3 linked regions of the Saccharomyces cerevisiae S288C genome follow. Changing the gene in region 2 together with the main gene of any one other region gives a genetic interaction. Each region holds a gene or a part of one and is shown on either strand. Other genes may lie near its edges.

Region 1 (4,350 bases), on a different chromosome or scaffold from region 2:
GATGATGACTTTAGAATCGTGTAATTCTCTACAACTGGTACATTGTAGATCGAAGGCAAATTCTGCCCTTGATTCGTTTGTATTCTCAATTGAAACCTTGGTCACGTTTTCTGATAATGTTGCTTTCAGAACCAAAAATAACGGCATTATCGTACACAACCTGGTTTTCTTTATTGGTTAAGTTGTCTTTATTCAAAATTTTTCATTACTTCTTATAAACAGCTTCTTGACGCTTGTAATTTCATAAGTTTTTGATACAAGCAATGGAAACAAAATTAAGAAAATGTAGGCAACGAAGAACTAAATTTGAAAAAAAAAAAAAAAAAAATTTACTGCCAAGATCATCTAAATTATCTTATAGTAGCAAAGCTTGAGCATAAAAGGATCAATCTTTTAGTTTTTTATGGCAAAGTACATTTGCAGTAAGTAATTAGTGATGAGATAAACAAAGAATAATAATCCAATTCGAAATCAAAAATTCAAACAACAAAAAACATAATTTCACATATATATCTAATTCATTCACGAAAAACACGTCAGTTCCTTCTGTCTGTTGTAAATAGGATGCATCCGCAGTGAATCATGGAAATATTTCAAAACTTTCAGCCCAATCATTTTATTTGGTCAATGAAGCCATAAACGCTCCGTAATTCTAAGATTAAAAAAAATTCATAAAAATAAGGACCAATATAAATATATATATTTAATGTGCTAGTGACAATCCTAGTGATAAAATTGCAAATTATACTACAATTGGTCATGGTGAAGCCTAAACACACCATTACGTCTTCACAGTGTTATTCATTTTATTTTCAAAGGTATGCTACTACTAATGCACCAGTGTATACCATGATACGGTGAAAAGGGCATGTAATATTGCGTTAATTTGTCGATAACCTTTCTTTACGTTTAAATTTTTTTTTTATAACTGGCGACACTAAACTTCTCGATAAAATACAACATAAAAAGCAGTACCTAGCTAAGCGAACAACAGATAATAAATAGCTAAACATCTAGGTTAATAGCCAATTAGCAATACATTTAAGGATTGATAGTGTGGTATTTACAAGGTAATAGCCCGCTAGGCTATAAGGAAACTACTCTAAATTCACCTTCCATATATGTGACTGCCAAGAAAATATTACTAGTTATCAAGCTTTTTTTGTGTGCATTCAACTTCAACGAATCCTTCGTCATCAATGAAACAAAAGAACAAGCCAGAACTGAAAAAAAAAAATCAAAACCACTAAGAATGTCACATCCTTCCAAAACTCCTGCTGGCTCTTCAACTCTTCAAAGAATATCAAGATAAATATCATTATCTCCAGTGTGGCCGACCCATGCATGAGTGCGAGGAGCATTAAGTTGGATCCTGGGAAAACATGTCAAGGACATTCAATAAAGTACTTTTCATACTACAACAGACGCTAGAAGAACTAGAATGTAACCGTGAACTGCCTCTCAAACACATAATTATGATAGCGCCGTCTTCGGCATCCTTTTTCGGAAATATACTTTCCTTTTTCCCTCTTTCAGCTATATTGTTCAAGGAGTAACATAAGACATAATAACCCCAGTTTTTTTAGAGAAAGTTCTTCTTCTTTAATTATAGTATGTTTGAAACGTACAAGAATTCATTGAGTGCCCTAAGGATTACTGCAAACAAGGTTCAACAGTGTTGGTACACATGACTCAGCAAGAATACCGTTCCCCCTCACAACGCTTATCCAAGGGGAGGAGCATGTCGCTACCCAAAATATTTGCTCGTAATTTGAGATCTCTGCAAAACAATGCACCTCCTGGCAAAAACATCAATGTCAATTGTTTGAACGTCAATTCTTGTTCGTTGTCCGCAAGCCCAAGCTCACAAATTAATATGGCTTGTAATGGAAACAAGCAAGATCTTCCCATACCGTTTCCCCTGCATGTAGAATGCAACGATAGCTGGTCAAGCTCCAAACTTAACAAGTTCAAATCAATGTTTAATCATAACAGATCAAAGAGCAGTGGTACTACAGATGCGTCAACTTCAGAAAAAGGTACGCATAAGCGTGAACCCCGGTCGACGATACATACAGAGCTGTTACAAAGTTCCATTATCGGTGAGCCAAATGTCCATAGTACTACAAGTAGCACACTTATACCCAATGAGGCGATATGCTCCACACCTAATGAGATCTCAGGTAGCTCTTCTCCGGACGCGGAGTTATTTACCTTTGACATGCCCACAGACCCGTCATCCTTCCACACTCCTAGCTCCCCAAGTTATATAGCAAAGGACAGTAGAAACCTGAGTAATGGATCTTTGAATGATATTAACGAAAATGAAGAGCTCCAAAATTTCCATAGAAAAATCAGCGAAAATGGCAGTGCCTCCCCCCTGGCTAACTTGTCATTATCCAATTCACCAATTGATTCCCCAAGGAAAAATAGCGAAACCAGAAAGGATCAAATACCTATGAACATAACACCACGTTTAAGGAGGGCCGCTTCCGAACCGTTCAATACGGCAAAGGATGGGTTAATGCGGGAAGATTACATTGCCTTGAAACAACCTCCAAGCTTGGGAGATATTGTAGAACCGAGGAGATCTCGTCGTTTAAGAACCAAGTCATTCGGTAACAAGTTCCAAGACATTACTGTCGAACCTCAATCCTTCGAAAAAATTAGACTACTTGGCCAAGGTGACGTAGGTAAAGTGTATTTAGTGAGGGAACGCGATACCAACCAGATATTCGCCCTGAAAGTTTTGAATAAACATGAGATGATCAAGAGGAAGAAAATTAAACGAGTACTCACTGAACAGGAAATTCTCGCGACAAGTGATCATCCATTTATTGTGACACTGTATCATTCCTTTCAAACCAAAGACTATTTGTATCTCTGTATGGAATACTGCATGGGAGGGGAATTCTTTAGAGCCTTACAAACAAGAAAAAGTAAATGCATTGCAGAAGAAGATGCGAAGTTTTACGCCAGTGAAGTAGTAGCAGCTTTGGAATATTTACACCTACTGGGCTTCATATACAGAGATTTGAAACCCGAAAACATATTACTGCATCAATCTGGTCATGTCATGCTTTCTGACTTTGATTTATCCATCCAAGCAACGGGATCAAAAAAACCCACCATGAAAGACTCTACGTATTTAGATACAAAAATTTGTTCAGATGGATTCAGAACTAATTCCTTTGTTGGTACTGAAGAGTATTTAGCTCCAGAAGTAATCAGAGGGAATGGCCACACTGCAGCAGTAGACTGGTGGACTTTAGGAATATTGATTTACGAGATGCTATTTGGCTGTACTCCATTTAAAGGAGATAATTCAAATGAAACATTCTCTAACATTTTAACCAAGGACGTCAAATTTCCACATGATAAGGAAGTTTCGAAGAATTGTAAAGACCTGATAAAGAAACTACTAAACAAAAACGAGGCAAAAAGGCTTGGTTCCAAATCAGGAGCTGCAGACATAAAGAGACATCCCTTCTTCAAAAAAGTTCAGTGGTCGTTCTTAAGAAACCAAGACCCCCCTCTAATACCTGCATTAAATGATAACGGCTGCGAACTTCCTTTTATATTGTCTTGCAATAAACACCCGAAAAGGAACTCAGTGAGTGAACAGGAAACCAAAATGTTCTGTGAGAAAGTTGCAAACGATGATGAAATTGATGAGGCTGATCCATTCCATGATTTTAATTCTATGAGTTTAACGAAGAAAGATCACAATATCTTAACCTACTCTGAAAATTATACCTACGGAAAAATTCTATACAAAGCAACTTGTACAAGGCCAAGGCATAACAGCTCACATAGAAGTTTCTTTAAAGACATCATACCTGAACTATAACATGTTTACAGAAAGATAAACCCATGGCCAAATTTCTGTATTGTTTCTCTCAATTTATCTTATGATAAAAATGTAAAAAATTATTTAAAAGTAAACAAATAAACAAAGGAACAATTCAAAAACGAGAAAGTGAATGAAAAATATAATATCATTTATTGTCTGATAATGCTGCATTTAGAACATACGTACCATCCGCATCAGTGGATATCCAATGATAGTAATTTCGCGAGTTTATCCGTTGCTGTTATATTATCACTTTTTAATATTCTTTTCAAAGAGCTGAATAATTTCAACGCGTCTTCGTTAATGGATTCCTTCCGCAATTCTTCTGAAATACTGAATGCCCGATTTATAATATCTTTGTCCAGGCGTGCCAATTTCGCCACATTCATCCCATAACTATTATAAGTCAATCCCTTTTTTAACTTATATAGAAAAATTACACTCATCCAGTCCTCGCCAGTTTTTTGTTCTTCCACGTAATCCATATGATAATTCCT
Region 2 (3,761 bases):
GGAATATGTCTTCCTGAGTGCCAATTTTGGCAACATCGGCTAACTCTCCGAGGGGAATTGTACCTGCATTAACTAAAGCAGCGGCTAGAACCGAATAAACAACAGACTTAAACATAGGTAATTTGGAATGGCCCTTTCTTTACTGTAGTATTTTTTTTATGATAATCAAGGCATAATTGACTTCCATCCAGCAAATTTAAGCACTTATATATGTTGCATAGGACTACTCAAAGCTGTTTACTATTTCCCAAACTGGTATTATTTAGTAAATTTCTTTTGAATTTTTTTTTTTTCACTCTTCCTTTTTTTCATTTTTGCGATGCCAGTTCTTTGAGTTTCCCTTATACGGCATATGCACTTAAGGTTTGATTTTGCTAATTAAAGGCGTGCCTAAGCGGCGACTAATACTGTAATATAATATGGGTTCCTGACTGACTACAGGGATTGAAACATCCATTTACCTGTTTCGGATATCTCTGCAGATTTTAATCTTTCGGCAAAATTTAGATAAAAAATTTGGGTATTCGTATTTAGTTTCCAATATTATTTAGTTATACAAAACTATTGTCTCAATAGACTGGCGTTGTAATGAGTAGTGTTCCAGTCCCAGTAGAAGGTCAATTCAGTAGAGTTACTGACGCTGCTGACGTTACAGACCTTTAGGAAGTCAGTACCGGCTACTCTCTTTTCAGCATAGTCGTAGAAGTCATTGATTTCACAAGAGAACCCTGGACCAGTGGAACAGGTTTCAATTGGAACAACAGCATCGTTAATGACGTATCTGACGTAGGTGTCGTTAGAACATTGGAATTTTTCGGTGTAGACACGAGCACCTTGAGGAACGTACCAGGATCTGTGGAAAGTGTTGCCCATGAATGGAACGTATTCGGCAGTTAAGTTGTTTTTGTCGTCAATTATACCAGCGGTGGTCAAAAAGTTTAGGATATCGGTATCGTGGGTAAAACTCAACCAAACCTTTTGGTCTTGAATCTCACTTTGCTTTAATAATTTGACTGAGGCATTGAACAAGTTGGAACCGACAGACTTGATAATGTCGTAACCTGGACCCTCATGGTAATAAGTGTGCAAGTCTTGGTAGTAGGAGTAATGGACTAATTCATCCTTGGTGAAAATATCACAGACATCACTGTAACCTTTAGCGTTCACTTCAAATGCACACCACGAGAATAAAGTACTAGCGTCAGTTGAGGTCAAGTTCAAACCCTTGTTTTCCTTGTTCAATCTCTTGGCAATGTCATCCAAGTAGGTTGTGTCGTATTCATTTACAATGTCATCATTGGCATCGTAGTCCCAAGCAGGACATGAGTTACAAGCACTCAAAGTGTTGGCACCAGCGGATTCAGCTTCACTGACAGTCTGCAAGGTGATGTTGAATTGGTCACCTAAACCATCAATGAAATATTGAGCAGTGTCATGACATCTCTTAGAATTAGAGGTAAAAACGGCGAAACTGGTTTGGTTTTCGACCATGTAACCGTATTGAGCCAAGAAGTCACGAGCATGTCTCTTGGCGTTCATTTCACCAGTGTATGGGTTCAAAACATCGTCCGAGTTGGCAAAAGTGGTTTCCATTTCCAAATCATCGTCATCACGGATGAAAAACTCGTAATCATCGTTCAAGAATGACAATGAGCCGTTGAATTGACGAGTGTAATTGCTCAACTTATACCATGTACTCTTGATAGTCTTAGCCAGACTGACAGTAGGGTATCTTTCACCATGTCTACCAACCATTTGCAGTTGCTTCATTTCACAACCTTCAGGCAAATCACGAGAAATACCATAGTCGCCAGGGAAAGAGTAGTATGGTCCGGCACCACCCAAAAATGGGAAGATATCTTTTTGGGTACCAATCTTGTCGACATCGGCTAGTTTGCCTAAGGGAATGGTACCTGCATTGGCCAAAGAAGCGGCTAAAATTGAATAAACAACAGATTTAAACATTGGTAATCTCGAATTTGCTTGCTCTATTTGTTGTTGTTCTTATTCTCATGAGAGATGAAGCCATACTAACCTCGACTTAGCAAAACATCAGCGCTTATATACGTTTCATTTCGACAATTCAAAGATGTTTACCCTTATCCCAAATGGGTATATGCCTTGCCAAGTAAGGTGACCAATTTGATAATTTGGCATGTGCGATCTCTTCGAAAACAGGGACCAGAATCATAAATTTAGTCTGTGCTAGTCCCACGTGTGAGTGCCAAGGTTGTATCGATTCATTTAGAGATTGCCTATTCAATTAACTCTTTTAATCACTTTTACTTTTTTTGGCATTGTGCAGTTGCGTTCTATGCGAAAACGTGCTAATTTAATATATATTTCTTTGTGCAGACAAAGAAAAAGCGCTATGAACCTTTTACCTTCGTTTGAAGTTTATAGACGACGTCCGCTTACATGAGAAAACATTAAAGCAGCGCACATAAGATGACTTCCAAATACGTTGACATATTTGCGCATTCTTGTTGAATACAACTTTCGGATCCTTGTAATGCCGGTCTCCGGCGTCCTGTAAAGAGAGCGTGCGACACGCCGCTATTAGCGTGGGGACTGACATCAGGTCAACATTATTATTGTAGCGAGCTACTTTCGGTCAGTAAATAGAACATATGTAGAGATACAAGCGATTATTAGAAGGAGCGGACCTACAACAAAGTTGGGTCACGTTTCTCGCAATTATTACTTGGATGCCCTCCTAGCTAATGCCAATGTGCAGTAGTAACTTATCAGTCCGATGTGTAAAAAATAGAACTAATTTTTTGCGAAAAGATGGACAAAAACCATCTCTGGTCAATTTTCTCACTAAAGAGGGACGGAGTCTCTTGTTTTCTTCTATTAGTGCACAGGGAATGTTTTGATTTTCCCTTTTTTTTTCTTTCGCTTCTTCAACAGTGGTAAAAATAAAAATTATTGGCGATGGGATAACCAAGGAACATTGTATTTAGCAATTGAAAATTACGGTAAAGGCAGCCGCTCTGACTTGATCTCTGACATTAAAAATTCGGAAACAATAAATATTTCTTTTAAGATGCGGGTTTTAATAACTAACGATGATGGTCCCTTAAGTGATCAGTTTTCACCATACATTAGACCTTTTATTCAGCACATTAAAAGAAATTATCCTGAATGGAAAATCACGGTTTGTGTACCTCATGTCCAGAAATCATGGGTGGGTAAGGCTCATCTTGCTGGTAAAAATTTGACAGCTCAATTCATATATTCTAAAGTTGACGCTGAAGACAATACTTTTTGGGGCCCATTTATCCAGCCACAAATTAGGTCAGAAAACTCTAAATTACCTTATGTTCTCAATGCTGAAATTCCGAAAGATACAATTGAGTGGATATTAATCGATGGAACTCCAGCATCGTGCGCAAACATCGGGCTGCACCTATTGTCTAATGAACCGTTTGATCTAGTACTGTCGGGTCCAAATGTTGGTAGAAATACATCTGCTGCTTATATTACCTCTTCTGGTACCGTAGGAGGCGCAATGGAATCTGTTATTACTGGAAATACAAAGGCCATTGCTATTTCTTGGGCCTATTTTAATGGATTGAAAAACGTCTCCCCACTTTTAATGGAGAAGGCCTCTAAGAGATCTTTAGATGTTATCAAACATCTTGTTAAGAATTGGGACCCAAAAACAGATCTATATAGTATCAATATTCCTTTAGTGGAGAGTTTAAGTGATGATACAAAGGTTTACTATGCACCAATTTGGGAAAATAGATGGATTC
Region 3 (5,821 bases), on a different chromosome or scaffold from region 2:
TTCCACGCAGGAAGGGAAATATAATATCTATTATAATGAAACAAGGCTTTTTTTGCAAATTTATACAGATTATCTGGCCAATAACGGCTACATTAATATCTTGCAATACGTGAAAATGGATGATATGCCTGATCTTTCCAATTTGGTGTTATCTCTGCCACAGATTATCCAACGGTTTGAAATTGTTTATGAGACTTTCCCAGAACAGAGAACTTGGGATCTTCAATTCAATCTATTGACATGTTATTTGACTCTCATAGAGTCCCTAGACGACACCGTTTCGCCCACCGTTGCAATGGAAGGTGCAGACATTTTAACTTTGACAAACAAGTATATTGAAATCTTTCAACACCTGGTTAATTATCTGTTACAAGAACTACAAAACTGGAGTGAAAATGCAGAACAAGATTCCGATGACACAGATACGGAATTGCAAAGAGATACTTTGGATGAAGACGCGATGCAAGTTACCAGGGACGGAAGTGGTATCCGAACCAATGGACCTGTACAACCTCCAGCAGAAGTTATGGACGTTTCTGAACAAGTGACTCCGTCTTCACTTACCGAAGTACTCGCCAACTCTTTAAAGTTCAACCATGCTTTGATGGAATTGGTTATTGAGTCGAAAATATCTATTGAAAAAAATGTCGAAACGAAAATCTTGAATCCTATTCAGATTAATTTCTTGGAAGATACAACCAATAAATTCTATTTACAACTACGCGACATTATAGACTCCATTTCCGCCGCCATTCCATTAGATTTGAAGGAAATCGGTTTAGCCAAGACTTTAATTGAAGGTTTGAACATCATTAGCTCCGGAACCTTCGAGTCATTGCAAGATTTTGTTCTGCAAACCGTCTCCTTTACCGATCTGCTTGATGAAAAAGATGTACAGGGTAAGATTGATCTTTCGTTGATTAGAGTTGATATCGTTGAATTTGCCATTCTATGTTTAAACGATTATTCTTCAGATGCATCTTGGAAACTCTCTGGGTTATTGACCAAAGTTCTTACAGAGGCTAGAACTTTATTAACAGACTATAGAAATCAAATCTTGTTTCTGAAAAATCAGACATTGAACGAACAATTGAGTCACGTAGTTTTTCAACTTTGTGATGTCTTAGTAAATTCCTCCGATAATGAACTGAGAAGGTACGCTATAAAAGAATCAACTGAAAAGTCACAAAAAACCCCCGGGGGAGCGCATACTTTAAACATATTGATGAAAAACGCTAACGTTTTTCTGAATAATGCTGTCGCTATCTCATCAAAACAGTGCGGGTTACAAGAAACGATTATTGATAAACTGAAGAGGAACTATATCCATAATCAAGCCAAGGAAAGACTACTTTTCTTACAGAGGCTGGAACAGAAGTCAAATGAGGATGACGGTACTTCTGCTTCGCCTACCGCAATGACGTTCGATATGCCACCAGAACACCCTTTTTATAGCCACTATCGGTAGTGAAATTACGTACATATACATAAGTAGAAGATAATTCGTTGCGCATATGCTACAAGAACCCTTGGTGAAACGAAATTTGATACAAGTAAATACATGCAGGAAACATACATTACCTCTGAAACAAAGCCGAGACGGGGCCCAGCAGTCTTTTTTTAGAAATCGCGTGGCTTGGTAACGCGATAATGACGCGACACAGCCATTAGTGTGAAATTTGATTTTCTTGGCCAAACTAGGTATAATATTTGTTACAAATTATTGATTTTAATATATATCTCGGGTTCATTTTTTACGTCGGTACTCCAAAGGATCAGAACACTTACATTTTGAGGCCTACCGGACCTTGCAGTACTGCTTGTTTAAATACGCAGTATACATTTCTTCTTCTTCTTCTCTCTTCTTTCCTTCCTCGAAGAGTCACTAAATTAATACTGGGAAGCCAAACCAAAAAAACTATACAATGAGTGATCAAAATAATCGATCGAGAAATGAATATCACTCAAACCGGAAGAATGAACCTTCCTATGAACTCCAAAATGCACATAGCGGGCTATTTCACTCTTCTAATGAAGAATTAACAAACAGGAACCAAAGATATACCAATCAAAATGCCAGCATGGGTTCATTCACTCCAGTCCAATCTTTGCAATTTCCAGAACAATCTCAGCAAACAAATATGCTTTATAACGGTGACGATGGCAATAATAATACTATCAATGATAACGAACGAGACATATATGGAGGTTTTGTCAACCACCATCGCCAGCGTCCCCCACCAGCAACTGCAGAATACAATGACGTTTTTAATACGAATAGTCAACAGCTACCGTCGGAACATCAATACAATAACGTACCTTCATATCCACTTCCTTCGATAAATGTGATTCAAACCACTCCAGAACTCATACATAACGGCTCACAGACTATGGCCACCCCCATCGAAAGGCCCTTCTTTAACGAAAACGACTACTATTATAATAACAGGAACTCTAGGACGTCACCGAGTATTGCTTCTAGTAGCGATGGTTATGCAGATCAGGAAGCTAGGCCCATTTTGGAGCAACCCAACAATAACATGAATAGCGGTAATATTCCTCAATACCATGACCAACCTTTTGGATACAACAATGGTTACCATGGCCTACAGGCAAAAGATTACTATGACGATCCGGAGGGTGGTTATATTGATCAGAGAGGAGATGACTATCAGATTAATTCATATTTGGGTAGAAACGGTGAAATGGTTGATCCTTACGATTATGAAAACAGTTTAAGACATATGACTCCTATGGAGCGTAGAGAATATCTTCATGATGATAGCAGACCCGTAAACGATGGAAAAGAAGAATTAGACAGTGTGAAAAGCGGTTACTCTCATAGAGACTTGGGGGAATATGACAAGGATGATTTTTCAAGGGATGACGAGTACGATGATCTCAACACTATTGATAAATTACAGTTTCAAGCTAATGGTGTACCTGCATCATCCTCGGTGTCTTCTATCGGATCTAAAGAATCCGACATAATAGTAAGCAATGATAACTTAACCGCAAATAGAGCACTAAAGAGAAGCGGTACTGAAATTAGGAAATTCAAACTTTGGAATGGTAATTTTGTTTTCGATTCTCCAATCAGTAAGACGCTATTGGACCAATACGCTACTACAACAGAAAATGCAAACACTTTACCAAATGAGTTTAAGTTTATGAGATATCAAGCAGTTACTTGCGAACCTAATCAACTTGCAGAGAAGAATTTCACGGTGAGGCAGTTGAAGTATTTAACTCCAAGGGAAACGGAATTGATGCTAGTAGTCACAATGTATAATGAAGACCATATCCTGTTAGGAAGAACTTTGAAAGGTATTATGGACAATGTCAAATATATGGTGAAAAAAAAAAATTCAAGCACTTGGGGGCCGGATGCATGGAAAAAGATTGTCGTTTGTATCATTTCAGATGGTAGATCCAAAATTAATGAACGCTCGCTAGCATTACTAAGTTCGTTAGGTTGTTACCAGGACGGGTTTGCTAAGGATGAAATTAATGAAAAAAAAGTGGCAATGCATGTCTACGAACATACGACAATGATCAACATCACAAATATTTCGGAATCAGAGGTTTCATTAGAATGCAATCAAGGTACCGTTCCAATACAACTTTTGTTTTGTTTGAAAGAGCAAAATCAGAAAAAAATTAACTCACATAGATGGGCATTTGAAGGCTTTGCAGAATTACTGCGTCCCAATATCGTTACATTGTTAGATGCTGGTACCATGCCAGGTAAAGATTCTATTTACCAGTTATGGAGAGAGTTCAGGAATCCAAATGTTGGTGGCGCATGTGGTGAAATAAGAACTGATTTGGGTAAGAGATTTGTAAAGCTTTTGAATCCTTTAGTTGCATCACAGAATTTCGAATACAAAATGTCCAATATTTTAGACAAAACAACCGAGTCTAACTTTGGATTTATTACTGTTCTACCGGGGGCATTCTCTGCGTATAGGTTTGAAGCTGTGAGAGGCCAACCATTACAGAAGTACTTTTATGGTGAAATTATGGAAAATGAAGGTTTTCATTTTTTTTCTTCCAATATGTATCTTGCTGAAGATCGTATTTTATGCTTTGAAGTGGTCACAAAAAAAAATTGTAATTGGATTTTGAAATACTGCAGAAGTTCTTATGCTTCAACAGATGTACCGGAGAGGGTCCCTGAATTTATTCTTCAGAGGAGGCGTTGGTTGAATGGTTCATTTTTTGCTAGTGTATATTCCTTTTGTCATTTTTACAGAGTCTGGAGCAGTGGTCATAATATTGGTAGAAAACTCCTTTTGACGGTTGAATTTTTTTACCTTTTCTTCAATACATTGATTTCATGGTTTTCATTGAGTTCATTTTTCCTAGTCTTTAGAATTCTCACTGTTTCTATTGCACTGGCATACCATTCAGCATTTAATGTGTTGTCCGTCATATTCCTGTGGCTTTATGGGATTTGTACCTTATCAACATTCATACTGTCATTGGGTAATAAACCTAAAAGTACTGAGAAATTTTATGTTCTAACTTGCGTCATTTTTGCGGTGATGATGATTTACATGATATTCTGCAGTATATTCATGAGTGTCAAATCCTTCCAAAATATATTGAAAAACGATACCATCAGCTTTGAGGGTTTGATTACCACAGAAGCTTTCAGGGATATTGTTATCTCTCTGGGCTCCACTTATTGTTTGTACCTAATCAGTTCAATTATCTATTTGCAGCCATGGCATATGTTGACAAGTTTTATTCAGTATATTTTATTGAGTCCTTCTTACATCAATGTTTTGAATATCTATGCATTTTGTAATGTCCACGACTTATCATGGGGTACAAAGGGTGCAATGGCAAATCCGCTGGGTAAGATTAATACTACAGAAGATGGTACGTTCAAAATGGAAGTTCTGGTCTCTAGTTCAGAGATTCAAGCAAACTACGATAAATATTTGAAAGTTTTAAATGACTTCGATCCAAAATCAGAATCTCGGCCTACTGAGCCATCTTATGATGAAAAAAAGACTGGCTATTATGCAAACGTTAGATCTCTCGTGATTATCTTTTGGGTCATCACAAATTTCATCATCGTTGCTGTTGTCTTAGAAACCGGTGGGATTGCAGATTATATTGCTATGAAATCCATATCAACTGATGACACTTTAGAAACTGCAAAGAAGGCGGAAATTCCCTTAATGACCAGTAAGGCCTCAATTTATTTTAATGTAATTTTATGGTTAGTTGCATTATCGGCATTAATAAGGTTCATTGGTTGCTCAATATACATGATAGTAAGGTTTTTTAAAAAGGTTACATTTCGCTAAGTAGATTGATTACCCCTTTGTTATAAATAAGTATATGTGTTTACTATCATATAATAATTAATTAGTTGTAAGTATGGTATTTTTCAAAGAAACATTTAGTATTATTTTTAAAGGGTGCCTTTACCATAAAACCAAAAAAAAATGGCTTCTGAGAGAAAAACATAAATAATTGATAAAACTGAAACTCACAACACCAACTCTTCCGCTCTAAACACCCAAAGCTCAAAAAACGACATGTGCACATCTATATCCATAAACTTTCAAAAAAGTGGTTCATTCGCAAATTCATGAAGTATTATTTAATACACAGTAATCTGGCATTTCATACTATCATTGCTCAAATTATCCGCCGGACCCTTGAAACTGTGGCGCTTTTTAAGACGCATCTCCAAAAAAAGAAAAAGAACAAAAGAAAAAAAGCTGCAAATATATATACAAAACAGATTTCACGTTTATTGCTTGGGAGTAAGGTAACGATCCGGAAGCCTTGAAGAAATTTG

The links.
Region 1: mutations in PHO5 (region 2) and KIN82 together harm fitness more than expected from each alone (negative genetic interaction), as found in Saccharomyces cerevisiae (3 studies listed by BioGRID).
Region 3: mutations in PHO5 (region 2) and CHS1 are lethal when combined (synthetic lethality), as found in Saccharomyces cerevisiae (2 studies listed by BioGRID, with this or other methods).

The regions. Positions count from the first base shown.
Region 1 is NC_001135.5:272,717-277,066, forward strand, and holds KIN82 (putative serine/threonine protein kinase KIN82), read left to right. Parts: upstream 1-1,687; coding exon 1,688-3,850; downstream 3,851-4,350. Other genes in the region: YCR090C (uncharacterized protein), read right to left, coding at 1-147; mismatch repair protein MSH3, read right to left, coding at 4,048-4,350. UniProt on the Saccharomyces cerevisiae protein: Flippase activator that phosphorylates DFN1 and DFN2 and which is involved in the generation of phospholipid asymmetry in membranes by the inward translocation of phospholipids.
Region 2 is NC_001134.8:428,987-432,747, forward strand, and holds PHO5 (acid phosphatase PHO5), read right to left. Parts: upstream 1,966-3,761; coding exon 562-1,965; downstream 1-561. Other genes in the region: acid phosphatase PHO3, read right to left, coding at 1-115; PBY1 (putative tubulin tyrosine ligase), read left to right, coding at 3,050-3,761. UniProt on the Saccharomyces cerevisiae protein: Partially mediates extracellular nucleotide derived phosphate hydrolysis along with NPP1 and NPP2.
Region 3 is NC_001146.8:274,577-280,397, forward strand, and holds CHS1 (chitin synthase CHS1), read left to right. Parts: upstream 1-1,925; coding exon 1,926-5,321; downstream 5,322-5,821. Other genes in the region: YNL193W (uncharacterized protein), read left to right, coding at 1-1,468. UniProt on the Saccharomyces cerevisiae protein: Polymerizes chitin, a structural polymer of the cell wall and septum, by transferring the sugar moiety of UDP-GlcNAc to the non-reducing end of the growing chitin polymer. Required for mitotic division septum formation during adverse conditions.